Lepisosteus oculatus: one gene and its partners. The main gene of each other region encodes a partner of the protein of the gene in region 2 in a complex. Links are inferred from orthologs where the notes say so. Each region holds a gene or a part of one and is shown on either strand. Other genes may lie near its edges.

The links.
Region 1: the proteins of ap2b1 (region 2) and ldlrap1b are in contact, whole or in part, in a crystal structure (PDB 2G30), measured with the Homo sapiens proteins. The link is inferred for Lepisosteus oculatus from reciprocal best matches to the Homo sapiens genes AP2B1 and LDLRAP1. Residues at the interface, in NP_001273.1 of Homo sapiens: Arg834, Gln835, Phe837, Leu838, Trp841, Glu849, Gln851, Ile876, Ala877, Arg879, Val881, Glu882, Gln884, Met886, Tyr888, Glu902, Arg904, Ser915; in NP_056442.2 of Homo sapiens: Asp253, Leu255, Asp256, Ala258, Phe259, Ser260, Leu262, Ala263, Gln264, Arg266, Thr267.
Region 3: the proteins of ap2b1 (region 2) and beta-arrestin-1 are in contact, whole or in part, in a crystal structure (PDB 2IV8), measured with the Homo sapiens proteins. The link is inferred for Lepisosteus oculatus from reciprocal best matches to the Homo sapiens genes AP2B1 and ARRB1. Residues at the interface, in NP_001273.1 of Homo sapiens: Arg834, Gln835, Phe837, Leu838, Trp841, Lys842, Asn846, Glu849, Ile876, Ala877, Arg879, Val881, Glu882, Gln884, Tyr888, Glu902, Arg904; in NP_004032.2 of Homo sapiens: Asp384, Asp385, Val387, Phe388, Glu389, Phe391, Ala392, Arg393, Arg395, Leu396.

The regions. Positions count from the first base shown.
Region 1 is NC_090706.1:3,839,335-3,846,812, reverse strand, and holds the start of ldlrap1b (low density lipoprotein receptor adapter protein 1b), read left to right. Parts: upstream 1-4,428; 5' UTR 4,429-4,669; coding exon 4,670-4,754; intron 4,755-7,478. UniProt on the Homo sapiens protein: Adapter protein (clathrin-associated sorting protein (CLASP)) required for efficient endocytosis of the LDL receptor (LDLR) in polarized cells such as hepatocytes and lymphocytes, but not in non-polarized cells (fibroblasts).
Region 2 is NC_090721.1:1,320,086-1,327,036, reverse strand, and holds the start of ap2b1 (AP-2 complex subunit beta), read left to right. Parts: upstream 1-3,845; 5' UTR 3,846-4,000; intron 4,001-5,078; 5' UTR 5,079-5,099; coding exon 5,100-5,136; intron 5,137-6,816; coding exon 6,817-6,922; intron 6,923-6,951. Other genes in the region: pex12 (peroxisome assembly protein 12), read right to left, coding at 788-1,175, 1,972-2,513, 3,377-3,505. UniProt on the Homo sapiens protein: Component of the adaptor protein complex 2 (AP-2). Adaptor protein complexes function in protein transport via transport vesicles in different membrane traffic pathways.
Region 3 is NC_090700.1:2,564,646-2,572,308, reverse strand, and holds the start of beta-arrestin-1, read left to right. Parts: upstream 1-4,605; 5' UTR 4,606-5,138; coding exon 5,139-5,158; intron 5,159-7,663. UniProt on the Homo sapiens protein: Functions in regulating agonist-mediated G-protein coupled receptor (GPCR) signaling by mediating both receptor desensitization and resensitization processes.

The DNA of each region.
Region 1 (7,478 bases), on a different chromosome or scaffold from region 2:
ATGGTATTGCTTGACGGGTCCTCAGGGGTACCTTTGTTAAAATGCACAGAAGCATTGCACAAGCTGTGATTGTGAAAATCGACTCATGCTTGCAACAGTTTAAAAATTATATTTAAACTACACATGACAGTCATGTGTGTCCTTTAAATTAACATTTTTCTGTCTTATGCTTTGGGCTTAAAGGTTATATTGTGCCTCAGGGGAAAAAAAACGGCATCTCCACGATTGACTGTGTCCTTCTCCAGCTGGTTTTTTAATCCCGTTCAACTCATTGAGTTGTAAAGACCTGGAGGAATTTCACTTTGGACAGGTGGGAGAGTAACTGTGTTGAAGCCATTTGGAAATCATCTGGAATGAGAAAGCTCACGGCCAGGTCTACAGCCCTCAAGGACCAGAGATGACTTCCTGGCCTCTCCTCCCGGAACTGGAGCAATGAGCCTTTAACTTGGGTGCGGAAATGGAGGATGTGAGCAATGATTTTATGAGACTCGTGCTGGACTGTAGTTCTCCAGGGCCTGGATTGTGTGCGGCTGTCTGTCCACCAGTATAGTGAGTGTCCAGAGTTTGCTGGGGATTAATGAGTGGGATTACACTGTCTTCAGTTGAAAGTGGCAAGATTCGAGAGATGGGATCAAAGATCGAAGTCCAGGAAGCTCTTCAGGCCCCTAGCCAGAGGCTAATGATTTCTCAAATGGCTTCTTTCTACCGTTTGCCTGGAAAAGTGTTTCAAGATCGAAAGGTGTCTTTCCATAGACATTTTCCTGGAAACTAGTTTGTCTCATCCTTGATCCATTTAAACTGCAGGTCGCAGACAGAGCACTAGAAGGAGGAGATTTTGGAGATTGATCCCAGGCTGGAGTGTTGCTTAAACGAACAGGTTTCAGTATATAATTCACTTAAGAAAAAAAACAGGGGAACAAGTTATAGAGTGCTGAATTCATAAGGTGTGTAGTAATGTCAAAAAGGGATTCATGCCTGTCAGTCGGTACACACTATATAGTGGAAGCCTTGTGCAGGGGTTCAAGCCTGAGTTTTGTCACCCACTGTCCGTAGCCAGAGCTCTCTATAAGTGGAGGAGCAGAAGTGCCGGATCTCTGCCAAGGACAGGGCGGGATTAGTCTACCAGTGATGCGGTTTTGGATCTTGCCTGTTTTTGTGATAATCAAATAAAACCAATGAGATTTTTTTGCACAAATATATCAAGTAGTGGAGACATAGAGTTATTTTCAGTGGATAGCATAATGAAATGAGTAATAAATCCTTGAATTATGTGTGCTGTATAAACCAAATAACTGGGAAACATTAAGCACAAATGCCAAGACTGATCTGCAAACTGAGACACCCTGAAAGTATTGTCAGCAATTATGACACTAACAATGAAAACACAAATTTAAGGAATTAGGAAAGATATACAGTGGCCTGCACACAGTGCAGAGGTCATCAGGCTCTTGCTCATGAATGTTACAATGATGTTACAGCACACAAAGCCCCTCTGTGAACACCAGCCACGAATAATCGCGCACAAGGGATTCTGTGCGAACAGCCGGTACAGTTAAACCCTGAAAAAAGCCACAAACGAGCAAGAACAGACTCATCCCCTTCGAGATGAGAAAGGTGCCCCTCCTCCGGCAAACTCCCTCGGCAGCCCCACGGGAATCTTGAAAAGCCGGATTTTTGGAATTCCACGGACCTCGGTGTCAGCCCCCGGAATGCCTGCAAGCCGCTGCAGAGAGGGGTGACCAGTCAGACTCGTGGGAAGCTTCTCGTCTAGCAAGGCCTTGGGTGACTCTGCCTCAGCTGCAGCGGTGCGACACCAGACTGCCCCAGCACTGCACCAGAACTGACCGCGCTCTTATGTACTTGCAGACCAGAGCACGGGTTTCAGAAAAACCTCGGTCCACACCTCACTCACAAACTATTTAACTCGAGGCAAGACAGGAGTCTTTTGGCTCCCTCCCAGCAGAAGCTCCAACGATGCTGTCAGCTGTTTGGTTTGCAATCGCGCTGCTGATAGCTAGGTTGAAGTTTTGGCTTGCAGTCAGCCAAGGTCGAAACGCTTTATAGATTAATTGTCAGATCTCTGAAGAGGACAGGGAGGGATGAGTCTACCTGCGATGCCTTTGTGTAGCACCTTTCACCCCATAGCACCTGACACAGAGGTTAGCCCCATTACACAACAGATCAAGTGCAGAAGTGAGGAACCGCTTCAGTTATAAGCAAGAAATTGCTTGGGATACAATTTGGGAAGCCAGATTTTGCAAAGCCCAAAGTGGGATTGAACCAAGATGTCATTTTTAATAACAAGGAGGGGTCATGATGTGTACATACAGTACTGTAAACCGCAGAGTTCCACTGTAATTAGTGGGGAAAATACTATAAGCCATATGTAATGTTCTGTACTCTATTCTAAAACATCAGCGAGTTTCAATTCCCATTTGAAATCCAGACAGAAGTTTAATTCTGATGGAAACTCTACACTGTATGTAGGTTGTGATGTGTATTGCTTTTGCAGATTTTCAGAGGCATGTATTGAGTACAGCAGACTTCTACTGCACTGCCACAGACTGACACCTACAGTAGCTGAGCGAGACACACTTGAGATGAAAGAACAAACGACACGTGTTCTGTATCATTCCTGTGTTGAAACGGAGCTCCTGTCACAAGATTGGCTAGATGTTCCGCAAGTCGATTACACGATGTAGCTCCTTAGCAGCGGAAGATGTGCGTGGAGTGTTATTTAAGTAAAAACGCGTGGAATACAGGCTGGGGAAAAAGAAAGAGGCCCCTCTTTTTCCTACGGGTTGACTGACTCCAGCATCTGACATATATCTGATAGTTCTGGAGTTATGTGCATTATAGCTGGTATCTGTAAGAGAGGATCCGACTGCTTTAGAACTGATATACTATCTTGCAGTACTGCAGACCGCATTCTCCTAACAACAAGGGCGCACTGTAAGCTCTCTCACTCTCTTACAGATATCCAAGAAAAGCTGCTTGTTTTTCCGCGCAGCTTTTCAGAAAAAGTTAAAAACTATAACAAAACGTGCGTACAGTGGTTCTTCGCATTGCTTTATTTATAGTTTATGAAGGTCATTCAAAACTAGGTCTTCGTTTTTCATCATTTAAATTCCTGAAAGCGGCCGGGTCCCTCCCGGTTCGACAGGAGCGCCGCAGATGTCGCGCACTGTGGCGTAAATGATGTCCCGGCTGCCCTGATGCCTTGTGACAATCCGCTCCAGAGTCGGTGATTTGAAATCATTAGGATCCGCGTTTGATGTGCTGTAAAATAAAAACGCCCTGGCAGGGAAAAGAAGACTCCGTGAAGACGCCCGGTTGGTGGAGCAGTTGAGCGCGGTTAGGTTAGCGCAGACAGCTGATTTGGAGATGAACTAAGCGCCCCTTTTCTACGTGAAAAGATAATCATTATGTATTGTATATTCCATATTACATATTCAAATAAAAAAAATACATACAATTCAGAGTAAATAAAAATACAATGTTCTGCTGTAGGCTATATTTACTAACATTTAGGAAGCATTTGGGACACGCCAGCTTGAATTTTCTGTACAGTCCAGTTTTTTTTTCAAAAACATCCTGAAAGTTACAGCCCATGTTTCAAACTGAAAACAACAATGAGGTCACGTCAAATGGGATCCTCTGCTGTTTTGACGTACAACATACTTCTCTGTTCTCGGGGAACTGACTTGTCCAGAACCCAGTTTGTTTGGTGGTGTAGACGGTCCTACGTTTTGCTCATTTGAAAATAACATTAACCTTTCCTCCTGACCTCCGGCTGACTCGTCCTGTTCTGTCAGGCTGACACGCCTCCCAAACTTGAGAACCAAATTCCTAGTTGACAAGACAATCTTTAACACCCCACCAAAAAAAAAACAAAAAAAAAAACAACCAGTTATAGAGATGGCAAATAGTTTTATGTCGCAAAGCCATGACTGAAAAATAATTCATAGTTCTGCTAAGTGCTTCTTCGTAATTTACTATTTTTGCTCGGATTATTTAATGTTTACATTTAATCTGCACAGTAAGGGGTATAATAAGAGAGAGGTGAACTATTAATATTCTTGTTCTTAATTTCATCCGATTATATTCTTGGTTCGGCAGTCGATGAGTGAGATGTGACTGCTTTTCTGACTGTATATATAGATTTAAAAATGAACTAAGTCGATACAGCTTCGACATTCTGAGGAAGAGAGGTCGTGTTGTTGTTCCTGAAGTCTGAGTCACTCCAAGCGACGGACGGGGTGCCCTTTGTTTGTCTTTACTTGAACTGTAGGAAATGCGGCCTTGGTTTAATTTTAGCACACACAAAATCAGGGGAAAAGTCAGGTTTCCGCTACACGAGTTCACCTCGCCCGCTCGGCCCTCCCCTCCAAGCGACTCTCAGCCTCCGCTGCGCTTTAAAAAAAAAAAGGCACCACGTCAACGCCAAGTACATTATCCGCCCGATTTACATAAATAACACCGCCCATGTGGGGCGAAACGTGATAATCCATCGACTGTGGGGCTGGCTTCGGAAAAGGGAGGAAGAAAAAGGGAAGAAAAGTTTGGGACAGTGACTTTAACATCGCGGAGAGTGCAGGAGCTGCGGTGCCGTAGAACCCGGAGCTTCCCGGACTCTTTCTTCCCCTTTCTTTCTGTGGGTTTCACAAGCATGGATGCTTTGAAGTCCGCGGGTAGGGCCATCATACGGAGTCCGAGTCTGGCTAAACAGTCATGGGGAGTCGGCAAACACAAAAGTAAGTTTTTTTTTGTGTGCGTGTGGCGCTTTGCTTTGCTTTTGGGAATCCCTGCTACGTTGTTGCTAGCCGCGGGGAACGATACGTTGTATTCGTCTGCGTGTTCTTGTGTGCGTGTGTGTGTTTTGCTCTTGCCGGCGAAGGTTTAAAGACAAAACGCAGGCAGGGGCATACATGCTCATTAAAAACGCTGGTCTGTGAACTCCTCGGTTGTTAGGGCACGTTTCGGTCTGCAACGAGGCGAGGTGTTTTGGGGTCAGAAGTAAATCTGAATTGTTGGTGCAACTCTTGCAAAATCCGTGTGGCGGGGTGCCGCTTTGATAGTGACCGTAGAGCTGGGGGATATTTTTGTGATTGAATCCGCTGGCTCCCAGCCTGAAGCCGAAAGGGTTTTTTTTTTTTTTGCAAGCGTGGGTTCCCAGTGGTAGCTGAATTGCGGGCTCCTGAGCGTTTGTTCAGGTAGCAGTAAGCCCACGCCGTGCTGGGGGAGGTTCACTGATGACTCGGGTCGTCCCGTTAAAGTTGGTCGCCTCCGAGTCTGTGCTCCAGAAGCTAACGGTTAACCTTTTGTACACCATAAAAATAGGTACCTTGGCTACTTAAGGTTATCGAAAACCAAAACTACTAGCACGGAGAGATTTGCCAGTCTATCAGGCAGTTTGCTTTTTTTTTTTAGCCTACACTTTGACGTCTTCATAGCTGGGACGCGTATCATGAAGATTTACTCTTCTATCCTTTCTCATAAACCTTTGGCTGTCCATAAGTTGTTAGCATGGATACGATAATAAATTTCCCAATGGCTTTCACAGTCTTTAATTGCGCCTGTCGTAGGCAGTTGTTTGGCGAAGCCCAAGATTAGTTGCTAGCGGCATCTCGGGTGGGGGAGCGAGGGGAAAACAGTATCTGGGCATGAAATGGGATTCACGGAGACTGGGCTTGTGGAAGAATTGATGTGTGTTTGTATGCGTTGATTTTAAAGTACACAGCCCTTGTAGCGCTGCTGGAAGACGAATGTTTGTATTGGAAGACGCGCTGGGTAGCGGGTGCATGGAGACCAATTTTAAAGCCGCAAACATCGGAGACGCCTTCACCGAACCCAAAAGTTTATTGGCTATGGAGAGTTGACTCCAGCTCTTATATACGAGGCCTAGTCACAGCGCGATATTATCCCACGTGTGGTGTTTGATTTATGCTTTTCGGCAGGTGTGAAGGGTGAGGTGACGCCCTATCATTGCCGTATAGAAGCCTAGCAGAAATCATGCGCGAAAAGTGCGGCCTACGTCAGAGTTAGACGGAAAAGAAATGTGATGTTGAAGAAGAACAAATATAACTTGGATTGGGGAAAAATGGAATCCCTTTGCTGGAAACGGCACTGCATAAAATGCGTGGCGACTTTGGCTTTTGTCGAAGTTCAAGGTGGAGTTTAGCAGTTAACTTGTCACGTCTGACAAGCAGGACTCGTGTGGTCTTATATAGATATTCCTGCAGCGCGGGTGAAACATTTTGTAAGGTTTTCAAACGTTTACTTGTTTATTTTAACGTGAGGGGTTCGTGTTTCCCAGGGCAGGAAAGAGCGCACCAGTCATGGCACTGGGATGAGACATACTCGTATCGACTAACTTGGTAGGTGAAGGAGTAGGTGGAACTATTTCCCCATGCAATCTCGGACCAGAATTTCTAGACTATCGCCCCAGTATGGCAGTGTGATGAGGGGGAGACACTGCAGTAGGAGGTGCTACCCTTCATATTAAACTGAAGCTCTGACTTGAGTATTGGAACTGAAGCTCTCTTGGGCATTAAAGATCTCATGGCAGAGTTTGTAAAAGTAAGTTGTTAACCCTAGTGTCTGGGCTAAATTACATTTTGTTCTTGCATGGTCTGGCCTACCTGAAGTTCACCCTTAACTTTCTCACTGCTCCACCTGTTTTTGCTGTGTGTCACACAGGTGGGGCCACACATCGGTGCTGGCTGAAGTGGGTCCCCTCCTATATGTGAAGCACTTGGGGGGGAATTTGGGGATCTGCTTTTCTTCAGAATGGCTTTGTTTGCCAGCTGCATTACACCTGCAACGAATGTGCTGTACGGTTTTGATGTAAAAACATAGAAACGGTCAATAATACATATACGCTTCTTATTTAAAAACAATTAGCAGACAGGGGTGGCAGTGCTGGTGACCTTTTGACTGGATCTGCTGGTGAGTATAAGGAGAATAAGCTTAATTAGCTTAAGTCTTAATTTTAAACTATTTTGGCAGCAGAGGTACATGTGCAGTGCACTCGAGACCTGCTGGTAACAAGAGTGTAATGCGGTGTCTGTGTTTTTTGTACTGGAAGGGAAACAATGGTCACTGTCACATAGCTCAAGGTCCTGGTTCCTGATTGGTCCTGAGGACACTATTCTAATTAACATTCTTTAAGCTTCTTATTCTCCTAATTATGCCTACCCACAGTCAGACCTTTCACTAGGCAATTATCCTTTTTCATTAACCTTGTCTTAATGTGTGTCTTGTTTATCTTTATTGGAGATTGGTGTGCAGGGCTTCTCAGAACAACTACAATGGGGGGCAGCCTTTTCCTTGAGTCAAGGGCAGAGTGGACATGTGGCAAATGCAGAGATGATTTGGTCTTTGCCTTAATACATTGGCGAGGTTTTTATCCAGAGCAGTGTTCTTGAGCTTTATGCACAATCAAAGTAAATTGGGAACTAGTATCCGGGCAGGAGCCA
Region 2 (6,951 bases):
TCCCCTTTTTCATTCATTCAAAGGAGTGGTGTCCTATAGAATATGGGGGTTTTTGTTTCCTCCCATCTCTTTGAACTCTAATCCCACCACTGGAAGCTGTGTGAGTTTAGACCTGTCCTTGTCCTGGGTGAAAGGGTAGGGGGGGTCTTGCCAGTGGGGCTGATTCTACAACAAAGCCTAGGGGGGAAAGGGGGTGGAAGTGCAAAACTAGGGAAGTAATCCTTATTTGCACAAAGTTTGCATAGGCTAGCTTAAATACTCCCTGCTCCTGTTCACCTAGTCCCTTCACAAGGGCACCTGTGTAGCTCTCTGGTAGGCCTCTAAGGGGAACCAACAAGTGAAATGCTTTCCTATTGACAATGAGCCCTTGCCTCCCTTAATTACAGAATACTCTCAAACTTTAATAGCATTATATTAACCATTTACTGCAGGTTGAAACTTTTTTTTTACCAGCAATTATTTGACAAAGACGTACACTGAAGTATCCACAGACTTGTACGGTGCTCTTCAGCTACAGTGTAGGAACCATGACATGATGGGAGATGAGAATGGATGTGTATAGCTTTCTTATTAGTCTGGCACAGGCCTGGGTACCCCGTGGCAATCTGCCGTCCTTTATGACCAGTTTAAATTTACCAAAGCTACTGGGAAAAGCGCTTTCTTGTTACATTAGAATTTGTGCCTCAGAAACGAAGCTGCCAGGCTCCATTTTCATCACACGTCGATTTGGCTGTCTGCCCTGTTGCTATGTCCCTGTGAAGTATTTGACTGACGCTTCTCCAGCGGTCTACCCTTCGGGGCAGTAGAGCTTGATCAGGTGCTGCAGTTCAGTAGGGTACCCGGTCAGCGGGCAGCGCTGGTGGGCCTTCACGTAGGCGAAAGCACAGCGGTAGCAGAAGACGTAGCCGGAGGTGGCCAGCGCGGTGTCGTTGGTGCGGGCTTTGCGGCACAGAGGACACTCGCTCTTGCCCACAGGAAGTTCTGGCTGATCCAGGTGCAGAGGAGGGGGAGGGGTGGGCAGGGAGGTCAGGGCCTTGATGGTGCCCTGGTTCTCCGAGGAATACCACCAGTCCAGGAACTGCAGGAAGAAGACCCCGACGGACAGCCCGGTGGAGATGGACACGGCCACCCCCCCCACCGCGGTGCTGAGGAAATGGCGCAGCTTCTCCCCAGCACTAGGAAAGGAAAACGAAATGAAGTTATTACTGCGGGGCCTCGTTTAAGCGCTGACCTGTTCCGCAGGGAATTCTTTTTTCCGGAGCGGGATTGGTTATATCCACCAACCCCTTCTTTTCTAACCGCTTCATCCAAGTCAGGTCGGCAGGAGAACCGGAGCCGAGCCCAGCAAGCAACAGCCACGAGGCAGGCCACACCCTGGAAGGGACGCCAGTCCATTGTGGGGCACGCACACACTCACACCAGGCCACTTTTCCCCTAGAGGCCAGTTAACCTACCAGTAAGTCTTTGGACCATGGGAGGAAACCCACATAGACTGCACCCCAGGTCTGGAATTGAACGCAGGGCCTCGGCACCGGTGTTAAACTCTGCACCACACTGCCAGTCTGGGCGTGCTAACATTTCCACAAACGCGTCCAAACTGAACTTCTGAAGTGCGCAGGGATCATGCAGCGAAGACTTGCCTCGACACTTCTGCTCACTCTTGAAATGTTTACTGGGTATAAATGAATAATTCCCTGCAGGCACATAGTGGGTATTTTAGACAGCTTTGATAACATTTTTTTTGTACCCTGGCACTAAGCTTTCCAGGACACGAATGCCCTATTAACTTTGGTGAAGCACTCATGGCACGATGCAGAAAAGATGCGCAGTTGTCCAGTTTTGTGCTGTCACGGATTCCTCTAGACTGGATCTGCACCAGTGCACAGCCGGCCCTCTCGGCACTGGGGCAAAGCCAGGAGAGGACAGCAGGGCCCCGGGAGGACCTCTGCGAGATGTAGGATCGGTGCGCACCTGAGAGGGGAGGCGGAGGTGGACGCCGCTGTGGGCTTGAGGTCCAGGGCTCGGATGTCTTGGGCCGTGAGCCGGGCCAGCCGGACCCCGGCCAGCCGCAGCAGGGGGGAGTGGTGCCGCGCGCGGCCGAAGACGTAGAGCAGCTGCTGGCAGAAGACCCAGCCCTCCCACGCCATGCTGCAGAAGGGCCAGGCGGCCAGGAAGGCCCTGCAGAGCCGGCCGCAGGCCGAGCGCGGCACGCGGATGGAGAAGTCGTCCTCCTCCCTCAGCCGGCCCAGGAGCCCCTCCAGCTTGGCCCGCAGGTACGGCAGCAGCGCCAGCAGCAGCAGGGAGCGCCAGCGCTGCCGCCGGGGCAGGCCCAGGCTGGCCAGCCGCCCGCCGGCCCCGGGGGGCACGCGCTTCAGGCTGTAGAAGTTCTCGGAGAACGAGGCGCTGGTCCGGGACAGGAAGTGGTGCTGCAGCAGCAGGTCCAGGGCGGTGTAGATCTCGTCGAACCAGCGCCACAGGCCGCCGTACCGGGCCGGGCTGGACTCCGCCAGCACCTGGAGGAGGAACGGGACTCGGATCACTCGGTGCAGGGAAGCTCAAGCAGGTGCGCCCACCCCCGCCCCTCGTCCCCAGTGGACATCCAGAACTTCCACACAGGCAAGAGGGACAGTACAGCAGAACTCCACACGTTTCCTCTCTGGGGCACTGTAAGAATAATGGGCGATTGTGGATTAATCCAGCCCATCATTTTCTCATCGCTTTATCCAAAGCGGGGTGGCAGGGGAGCCAGAGCCTATCCCAGCAAGCAACAGGTGCAAGGCAAGGTACACCCTGGACGGGACGCCAGTCCATGCCAGGGTAGACAGCCACTCACACTAGCGCCAGTTTTTCCCTACCCCTCTCTGTTTGGACTGTGGGGGAAAGCCAGAGCCTCTGGAAGACACCCACATAAACATGGGGAGAACATGCAAACTCCACACAGACAGCACCCCAGGTCCTGAATTGAACCCAGAGCACCAGCGCTGTGAGGCGGTAATGCTGAGCGCTGTGCCACCGTGCCTCCCCCTGGTTGATTAATTTCAAAGCCTATTAATCATGTTCAAGAATGCAGTTCTGTCTCTGTTCAGTTTATTTTTCCTGTCTTTATCGGAGAGGGATAGTAAAAACCTGTGTATGATCATGGCCTCAAGAGGCTAGAAATGCTGGAGGCAAGTCTGTTTTGCAAGGTAAATGTCACAGAACCCTCTTAGGAAAACAAAACGTGTTTCAGTTAAGTGGGTCCTTACATTTAGTCATTAACCTTTGCATTCACGCTTCTAATAAATTTCAGCTTTATGAGCATTTTATGAACAAATTGCAGAAGGCGCAGAAGCAACACCAGATGCTGTAGCAGGAAATGAATGAGCTGGTTCACCACCTTTACTGCGTGCTGCAAGGCTGGTCTGACCGAGGCCATGAGCGAGTCCTGGGCGAGCACCTCGAAGATAGAGGGCCTGTCGTCCCGCTCCAGCGAGGCCGAGCTGAGGTGGGCTCCGCGCTCGGCCATAGCGCCGAGGTGCCCTTGATCTCTGCAGGCGGAGTGCTGAAATCCCAGATGGGCACAACTAACATGAATTAAAAAAAAAAAAGGTCGATAACCTGTCCTTGTGGTTTGTTGTTGATGTTCTTGGTTAGGCGCAACAATGATCACTGCGCATCCCCAGTAGTTAAAACAGTTCCCCTCAAAACAAACTGGATTAATAAGAGGCTTTCAGACAAACTAACTCCTCTTTGCAGCTCGCAAATCTCCCCACCCTCGCTGAGCCTCCAGATGTTTTGCTGTCCGCCTCTTAAATCGTTCGGTCGGCTCCTTCCGGAATCCCTGCTGGCTCCTTCCGGCGTCTCTCCCCTCCTCCTCCGCCTCTCGTCTTGTTTTTCCGGGAGTGCGGTTTCTCTCCCTGTGTGTGTGTCTCTCTCTCTCGCCCTTGGTCCGTGATACCAGCATCTTGCTTCCTCTGTCACCTCTTCGCTCGGCTCTTCTGTTCGCCATCACCCAGAGCAGGTGAGCGTCGCGTCCCCGTCTCCTCGGTACCGGCGGGGAGGCCCAGTCCACCGCACCGTTTTTTCCCGGACAGGCAGATGCGGGAGCCGGGTCACACCCAAGCCGGGCTGCGCAGTCCAGGGCTCTCCGGCATTTGCTGGAAAAGCGGACATGCAATAAGAACTGAGAAAATTAAATAAACATTTCTGGCGTCCTTCCTTGAGCTTGATCCACATTTCCATACATGTAATTCACAGGCGTCGGTTGATAAGGTCAAGCCTAAATGCAGCGCTCGACAAGGGAGACCGATAGCGATTGCGTATTAATTTTAATTGACTATAAAATCTCGATTTTGACTTTGAACTGTAATACTTTCTGAATAGGCTGGGCGTTTTTTTTCCCCCGTAAAGGCCTTACTGAGAATGTGCATTATTGCCACACCGCCTATTTAAATCCAGTGTGTTGTAGTTGTTTTAGGCATCCCTAACCAGACCCGTTAACTGGTTTTCTCCGACTGGTACAGCTGTTCTAGTTGGTTTAAGACTACAGTCGGTTATTTGTATACTTCTAGACAGTAACCAGAACAGTTTGTACTCTCGTGAGTCTGAGGTCTTAATTGCGGGAGTATTGAAGTGGTTCCTCTCAGGAATATGTTGAAGGAATAAATATATTTTAACAGTTCAACATTTTCAGATTAATATACCATTGTTTATATTTAAAATAGCAATGTTTGTTACAGGTTTTTAGTTTAAATCCCTTAGATTAAGGATAATATTGTTTTTCTGGGCTGAAAGATTTCCTTCAAGGTGAAAAATTATATCCTTCAGTGAACTCGGTGAAGTGGTTCACTCCATAGGTCAGTTCGATGCCAACACAAATTCCAATGTCTGAGCTGTAAATGTACTGTATAGTGTTATGATTCAGGTATTTCCTTATATGGGACTGGAAATGAAAATTTTCCAGTATTTGTAACATTATCAGTGTATTTTTGCTTATGTCTGTCCCAGAGAAAACATACAGTAAGCTCTTCTAAATCCAGCATACACCGGTGTTTCTCTGCAAAGTAACGTACTCTGTGTTCCATTTTTCCTTTTCGCAGCTGTTCTGAAGAACTGCAGTCATGACGGATTCGAAGTACTTCACCACAAACAAGAAAGGTGAGTCTTCTCGGGGGAGTGTTTGAGTTTGATGGATGACACGAGATGGTCTATTTATTTTACTCCGTCTCAGATTGGAACTTTGCCTTTGCAGGTAAAAGATATGATACGTTTACAGCATATATTTAACACAACATGAACCCATTGACAAATAAGGTACATGTACGATGAGAAAGTATTATAAATAAAGTGAAATTCATAATCAGTTGTCCAAATGATAACTGTCCGGTTGATAGCTGTAGGAGCAAAAGATGACTTAGTTCTATTGCTCTTGAATCCAGACAGTCTAAATCGACACCCAGATGGAAGGAGTTCAGATTCACTGAGCAAGGGGTCATGACAGTCAGTGATTATATTGGCCTTCTGCACTACTTGTCTGATTAAGATGTCTGACAGCTGTAGCTGTTGTGTACTGACAACTTTGCTGGCTGCCTTCACTGTCCCGCTCAGTGTGTTTTTGTTGCATGTATTCAGGTTACTAAACCAGGCTACTGCAGTGAACGACAGGACAGATTCAATGAAAGTTCTATAGAATAAAGTCACTGTTCTACTACAGACATTAAAATAGTGGAATTGTTTTAGGATAACGGTTGCTGTTGGATTTTCTTACATAGGGCATCTGTGTTTTCCTCGGTATATTTGTAAATGTTCACAATATCGATCTTGGACTGTTGGGTTTGCAGCTGGTGGTTGCTTTCTGAAATTGACGATCATGTCTTTGCTTTAAATATATATAATACTGATTGTTTTGCTATGAAGTTGGGCTAATGTCAGGACTGGACTCTAGAAACAGACCAGAACATTTGAAAGAGAGTAGCTCACCAGGTGTACGGAAAGAGATCACACAACAGGCCTGGGCAGCCTTGGTCTCGGAGAGCTACAATCCCACAGTTTTTATGGGCCTGCCTCAAATCATCTAGCCTCCCTCAAACACTTTGAGCACTTTCATTTTGACCACTGACACAGCTGATTTGTAGTAGTTTAGTGATCATTTCTCTAATGAAGATACCAACTTCCCCTCCCCGTAGCTATAAGGGATCGTATTTTGCCATTTCTGGCATAAAGGGACCAAATCAGTTATAGCGATCAAAATGCCAGGTGCTTACAAACTGAACGTATAAGTATGACCTGTAAGACCTGTGAAACTGCAGCTCCAGGACAAGATTTGGCCTCCTCTGTGTTAAGAGCTCAGTGGTGATATGAGTGCATAGTGTGTTATTATTATAGTGTATGAATGTATTTATGTAGGTCTATGCACTTGTAGCTCCTCGGTCCCGGCAACATGTTAACATGTTAGAAGGTTCTGCAGTTCCAAATCACGAGGTTGTTGGTGTAGAAGTGAGGATTTTGATGTTTATGGGGTTATTTTGTTTGTGTTTTAAGAATGGATTTCTATAGGTTTCAACACTAAAACATCAGTGGGATCTGCTGTGAGTGATGGAGCAGTGAGCAAGACTCCGGTTAGCATTGCTGCCTCACTGGCTTCAGTTTCAGACCTGGGGTGCTGTCTGTGTGGAGTTTGTATGTCCCCCCTGTGTTTGAACCCGTTGCTTTGCCAGGAGAGATCCTGGCCCCCCTGCGACCCCGAGCTGGGAGAAGTGGTTAGACAATGGATGGATTAGTTACTGGAGCTGAGAGGGCAGTGCGCTGTGCTGACGCCGTGCTTTTCTCCCGTTTCAGGGGAGATCTTTGAGCTGAAGGCAGAGCTGAACAATGAGAAGAAGGAGAAGAGGAAAGAGGCAGTGAAGAAGGTCATCGCCGCCATGACTGTGGGCAAGGATGTCAGGTACAGTCATTTCCCTTGAGTCAGCTTCT
Region 3 (7,663 bases), on a different chromosome or scaffold from region 2:
TTAGGTTTCTTTAATATTATCAATATTTTGTTTTTATATTGTTTTTTTTTCATTTTTTTACTTGGTTCCATTTAAGCCATGGGTATCAAAGATGTATACTTATAAACAAGATATATTACAGCGATTCAAGTAGAGAGCTGCCTCAGCATGTGTAAGCTGCAAAGGAACAAGTAAAGGTTTATTCCATGCTGAAAAGAGAAGAAAAAAAACAATGTTTCGGCTGTGGAGCCTTCTTCAGTGAACTTTTTCCTTTGCATATTACAGTGATTACAATTATATATGATTGTATCTTGAAAACTACCCCTATCAGCCATAATGTGAATATTGTTATGTTTTACATGAATCCATTGATATTTCTGTAAAAACTAAAACTACACAAGAGAGCAAAACTACATTATAGGAATGTTTCTTTGTTTTTGTAGCATAAAGGTTAGATATTAATGTTTCTGATATCTTGAATTTTAATACACTTTGTTAAAAACAAAAACTCTTTTTTAAGAATTGTTGTTCTTGCATCATGGTACCCTAAATGTTAAAAACATATTCAGTTGGGAATATTTATCATTTATTGTAACATCCTTGCAAAACATTGCTGAGCACTACACCAGACAAAGAAGGATTGTTACTTGTAGATTGTATATAATATCATTATCATGCCTGACTGCACTCCAGCATGCTGAATATCTTTAATGGCTCTGAAAAGGGTAATTAACATAACTGAAAAGCTCCAGCACTTTTGTGGTACAGCCCTGTGCCCAACAGGAAAGCCACACATCCATTTAGCGATTTTGTATTTTGTTATTTTGTAGATCTTCAACCTATAAACAAGTTTTCTTTGCTTCTGGATGGGGGCAAGTCGTACCACACAGAGCATTTTTTAAGAATTTGCAATAAAGTGCAAAGACGAAACCACAATCACACTTCAGAGATAGAGGGTGTTTTACAAATCCAGTAAACTGAGGCACATGTAGGACAGGAAATGTTACCTTAATTGTTTTATAAAGAAAATAAACTGAAAACCAGCTTTATACTAAAGGTTTCTGCTGTTCCTGAGAACTCCCAAACGGGTTCTCAGTATCATGATTACTTCTGTGGTTGACGGACTGGGGCCGCGCTGTCTGTCGTTAAAAGAATCCTCTCAAACATGTTGACACACATGAGAGCGATTTTCCTCAACCAGCAGACTGCAAGTAGCCACCAGGATTTGAAGGGAATCTTTCCTGAGCAGATGGGCTGCACTCTGAAATGATACTGAGACGAGCAAATCAGCCCTTAAAAGTAGAGAGGACTCCGAGGAAAGAATGAATAACAGGAACCAAAACTTGTACTACAGCTCTGCCGAAGAACGAACTCAACTGTGAGTGCCAGGGCCTCTCGTGTGCATCGCCACGTCTGTGGTGCTCACTGCACAGTCCCATTAGAGACTGTCACTGTTGACACTCCCGAAACTCAGACCTGCCTTTTGCATATGTTGTGTGCTATTGCACAGAGGTTTCAGTTTGAAGAAAAAGGGTTATAAATAAAATTATATTATCATGAACTGTCCATTGTTCATGCTGCTACTGCTGCCTTTTCATTCTCTGAATTTATTGCTGATATTTTGTTAAAATTACAGCTTGGTTTTATAGTGTATGAGGTACAAGGGCATTTGAAAAAGATTATTCTGCAAAGGAAGCATTATACTGCGATTATTTTGATATTAATTAGGCAGCACACCTATTTGCACTTTCTTCTTTATGTTTGTTTCTTTAGTAAATAAAGACCATAGGATATAATCTGTATCTTGTTGACACGCAATAAAGACCATGATTGCTCTAAGATGTTGTATTTCATAAAAAAATTGTTTTTGTTTTTAAAGTGAATGACCCATTATAGTGTCAAAAACGAGTCTCAATTTTTTTTACCAGAGTGTATCTGAGATATGATTTTGTTAATACTGGGAATCATTTACAGAGCAAGAATTTTTCTTTGTTGGCTTAATACGTAGAGAAAGGATTATAATTTTTAAACACAGTACTTGGATGTTGACCTGAAAGTCATCTTGTCATTGATCTGTATCTCACTGTCTCCCACTGTAGGCATTTAAAATGAAAGACTTCAGCTTGCTTTCTTGTTAAATTGATAAAAGATAAAAATCTTTTCTCCCCAGTGTAATAATCTTGGCCTTTCTGACTGCAGATGTCAATATGCATCTTTTGTGACTGCTTTTCCTTGACGATTAAAAACAAACCTAGTATTCATAGCCATTTTCCCCACTTACATACTGTATGTAAATTACAGTTTTCTTGAACACACTGATCAATGTGTGGCTGTACATTCAAAGCTAAATCTGTTAAGTCAAATATACCTGCTGATAAAAACGTAAGGAGGTTGTGACATCAGGTAAATATACTCCAGATGTTTTAAAGATAACAACTGATGCTGATATCTGGAGGTCAATGACAACGCCACCTGTGTCAATCTGTTTTGATTATTGTGCAGTTCTGGGTCTTTAAAATCTCTCTTATGATCAATATGTGAGAGCTGATATTCATTGCTCTACAACTGTGGAAAAGCATCTGGAGTAACAGGTTTTTTAACTGAACTGGGCAGGGCAGTGAGCTATGACTTACTGTACTGTTACATTTCTAAAAACACCTGTTGCAAGTGATGTGAAAGTCTACGATTATTAGGATAGTGAAAATATATAATTATTAAAAATATACAAAGAGAATTGAATATATGCTCTGGGATGTTATATTGTATTGTATATGGAGGACAAATCTGGATTTAAGTTTGGGAGACACAAAGCCCAATATTCCAATGCACACTTGACCACTGGGAATTTCAATGACCTGCTAAGATTAAAATGTAATCTGAATGCCAAAAAGAAAGCATGGCTCACAGTTTCACCCTTTGATGAAAGGGGATTGAGCCAACACTTGAAATGTAGAGCTACCTGTGAACAGAGAATTGCCACGCAACAGATGAGTTTTGGAAGCTTTTTATGAATTTTGTGTGGCATAATCTAATTGCAAATGAGAAAAGATGCTGTTTGCGTGGAAATCATATTTATAAATTATGTTATGGTTTACTGTAGGATCTAGATGTGAGGCTGAAAAAAGAAGTATTAAGGAAAATGTGGCACTTCTTAAGGCTTCCTAGCTTATGACAATGCTGGTGTACATTTTAACGTGAGTGGGTCATATTCTATGTGTCATACAATGCTGTAGCACTTTTTTTGTGCTTGCCTAGGGCGTTTTGAAAAACTCTCTACACAGTACATTCACTGCTGCAAAAATCCAAGGTCAAAGTCTTTGTCATTGACTGAAAATGAGTGCTGAGAAAGAAATGACAACTTACGGAACACAAAACCTGTGTTTGACAGCTTTGTTTGCTGGAATTAGTGAAAATATTGATTGCTCAAGAAGGCACTGTCTTTACGGTAGAAAAGCTGCTTTGCACGCTGACAATAGTTCTGTGTGGGTTGCTGCTCTGTGAAGGTTGGTGCACAAGAAAAAAAGATACTCAATTAAATTGAATGTTTTGTGCTTGTTTTTTTCCCCCACAGGGTTTTGAATATTAAATTAAAATAAATATAAAACGATGGATCTGCACTAGATAATAGAGTAAAATTATATTTGGCATGGTACTGTGTTTAGTTTTATAAACCAATTGTATCAAATGGGTATCTTTTCATTATCTGTGTCATGCCTACATCACATGAATTCATAATCTATATTAGATAACTGTGACTTGTTGCATTGAACTTATGGATAGCTCACACCCCCCCCCCCCCCCACACACACACACACACACACATTCCTATATGATGCATCAATACATGAAGTTAAATTTCTGCTAAATTCAAGCATTTATGTATCTGTAACCATGGACCATAGAACACACAGCAATTGTGATGTTTGAGTGATGAACCAGACACATTACATGGCCTCCAAGGGGTGTTCATGGCAGCCCCATTCATTCTTTCTCCACAGTGTAAGGTCCTTGGTCCGTATGCATTTGATACTTTAATCCAGAGTGACCTTCTGTTCCTTAGCCTATACAGTAGCTTGCTGCCTTTTTTCTTTGCTGTTTGTTTAAAGAAATTACACTTAAAACTGATACGGTTTAATCAGACTCAATCGGAGAAATCAAACTTTAATTTAATCTCGTCTTTGAATAGCTGTCTTACTGCTGGTAATCATGGTCATGGTGAAAACCATGATATTCAGCCTGTAAAGGTTTGTGCTATGCGATTCCCCTGGTGTGCTATGCGCTAGTCAATTAACATATTTCTCACAGAGGTTTGCAAACTATGCATATGATGTGTATCATCTTCCATGACATTATCCCCTACATCCTCAAGGTGACTTGCAGTCATGCAGTCTGTTTGGCACACTATCAATTGAAATGACAGAGATAGGTGAGCCCAATTTATTGTTGGAGAGATGCACTGTGACACAACAGACCATGGATTTAATACAATGGTGTGAATATCAAAACTCAAGTTAATCCCATCCAGCACTTTTCCTTCACTGACCTGCAGTCAGGTCAGCATGTGACTGCTGTATTTTTTTTTTTTGCTGCCTTTCCTCAGCATTGTAGTTTTAAGCTGAGCAAGGGAGGCTGTGGCTTGAATGAGAGGGATGTTTCATCCTGACCGGCACACACGCAGACACCACACACACACACACAGATTGAGTGAGAGAGGGAGGGATACAGAGCAGCAGAGAAAGGGAGGCAAAGAGCTAGAACGGAACTCTGATGGAGGATTCACATTAATAAGAGTAATCTGGAGGATTCTGGCTGCACAGAAGCTTTAATCTGCGTATCTGGATTTACACTGCAATTCAACAATACTAGCCATATATACTAGACGAAGGGGAGCAAGAGGAAGATCAAGAGGAAATTCTAACAATTTATATTTTAAAAGAACAACAGGGACGCTGTTTAATTTCATTCACAGGGAGAGGAGTGTTAACAGCACAAAAAAGCAGTTTAACAGGAGCTCCACTTGCATTTACGTGCACATTCTAAGTGGCTGCCTAAACATAAGCAAGACCTCTTGCATCCTTTTCCGTATAGCAGACTAGTCTCCTCCTTGAACATTGGAACTAAGACTGAAGGCTGCTCTCAGCAACACAGCAAGCCTGACAATGGGCGATAAAGGTACAAGGTAAGGATTTCTTTGACATGGGTCGTATTTATTATTCATGTATTCTATTGGGCTTTAGTTCATATGTGGTTTTCTATGTATAGTAGCGTACATTCATATAACATATGCCAAATTAAATCCTTTGATGTCGTAATTGTGTTGTTCTTGATGCAGTCTTTTGTTTGTCAGCCTAAGGCAGTATAAGTTTTTGTCCCCCCTCTCCTTGCATGAACGTTGAATGATGTATCACTCTGCAAGCATGCAGTAAGACGTGTTAGTCTGCTCACACCCTCATTATGGGTCTGTGTGACTGTAAGTGCTCATGCTTGCTGGCTTGCTGCGTATTTTTATGGAACCTCATAAAGGACCATCAGTATTGGAATAATAAGCCTTGATAGAGCTCCGCCAGCAGGAGTGCACAACTAATCATGTATGTGCTAGATTTGCCAGGTTGTTATGGCACCACAATTAGCAGCTCATCAAGGGTCCGTCAGAAAACTGATACTTCACTATGTGTGTTCCTTTTAATGGATGCATTAAAAAGCTGATGCGGATACATAGGTATTTAAATTGGGTTTAACTATCTTTTCAAAGTTTGGACGCCAGTGAGCATACTCTTATCAGTGACCTATATGATAATGTTCACATATCTTCATGTCTTTTCACACTGTAGGTTAACAACCATTGTGATCTAGTGAGATATTCTAAAATTAGGAACTTTTTTCTCTGGTACACAGATTTTGGCAGACACCCATCAGAACTGTTTGACATTCCCTTTGATATACTGGTCTCTCTGGAATCTAGGAGATACATCCTTCTAATGGGATTTAAGATAGTTTGAGGGTCTGTACTGTAGATCAGCTACGACACCAATAGGCCTAGATTTCAAGGATCATAGCATCATGTAATGTTTGTATCATGATCTCCCATTAGTAAGGCAAGCTTTTCTTAACTAAATTCCTTTAGAACTTGAACAACTTAAGGAATTAAAAGCAAAACATTCGATTTCAATGAGAAATTGCTCTGACTAGTGACTCAAAGTGATTTACAACTTTCATTGGAGACTCAAAATATGATTTACTGTACATAATTTCTCCTCTTTCTGAAGGAAAAAGGCATGCAAAGGGCAATTTGCTTGAAGCAGAATGCGTTTGCAATTTGCTTCTTTCTGGTTGGTTGCCCATCACTTGTTTCAGTCCAAGTTCTTGTTCTTGTGAGCTCAAAAGTAACTTGGAATACCGCTGTAGTCAAACACTGCATCTCAGCAAATGTTCCAGCCTTTCACCATTGATACAGCCCAGTTTTCAACACTTGTTTAAAGTGCCAAGAAATAGGTGTCTCTGGATAAATGCTTTGTTTCTCTATTTTATTTATTCCTTATTTTTATTTTGTTCTTATTCGTGATGCTGTGTGTGGTTTCACTCACTCAATCACTTCACTTTTAACAAATTGGAGGTATTTTAAAAGCCTTTAATCTAAGACATTGTGAGACATTTTGCCTGGAAATGCATTGCTCAAAAACGCTGCTTCATACCTAATGAAGTGAAGCTCATGTTTAGCCATCTTGAGTCTATTCCTCTTCAAATTATTGTTCATTCTTTTTCAATCAAACCCCTGATTAAATTGATTTTGTGTTTACAATGATGGCAAGGTTTGCAAAACTAAAGACATAATTTACAGACTGATCATATTTTGCCAAAAGCTCATTTAAATTACATGACACTATTCAGAAATTCTTGTCATAGAAGCAGATGCACAACAATTCTGGGAAAACCATTATGAACAATGTGTTCCAATAGCTACTATATTTTCACTGTTTGAGGGTTTTGATTAAGTTACATGACAAAAGTAAATGTTTCTTATTGCAGATGTTGTACAGCAAACATAACAGTTTTAACTTGTACTTATAGAATGTTATCTGTATTTTGCAAGAGTGATGATACACTTAAAGAGTCAAAAGATTTTGACTGCGGCCTTTTTTTGTATATTCCTGGTTGTTATATTCCTGTTTGCTCCATATGGACAGTGCTGTATACTGTACTGTACCTATATATAAAAAGAACTAAAAAGCAATACTTGCCCTTATCAAAATCTGATATTAGTATCAAGACAGATTCAACATACAGATGGGGCAAAGAAATGCAGAGAACTGAGAAATTGTCCCAACCTGAAGGAGTATTTGCACCAACGGCATTAGCAGTGTTTAGGCAGCAAGAAAGCCCTTTATTCACCATCTTCAGAAACAGGAAAGGAGTCAAAGTGGAGCAGCAAGCTTACCTAGGCTGACCCATATGTGAGGCAGAAGAAACACCTGTTTCCCTATATGTCTGATCCTTAGCTAGGCCTTTTTCCTCAAGAAAGAAATTAGGCAACAAGAAAGAAATTAAAACAGAAGAAAGGCTACAAACAACAGGAAACTCTTAGCTCATTTGGTTGCTGATTGCTCAAGATCCTATAGTATCAGATTCAACAACATAGATGAGCAAAGGAAAATAAAAATGATAACAAAAAAGGTCAGGAAGGTGT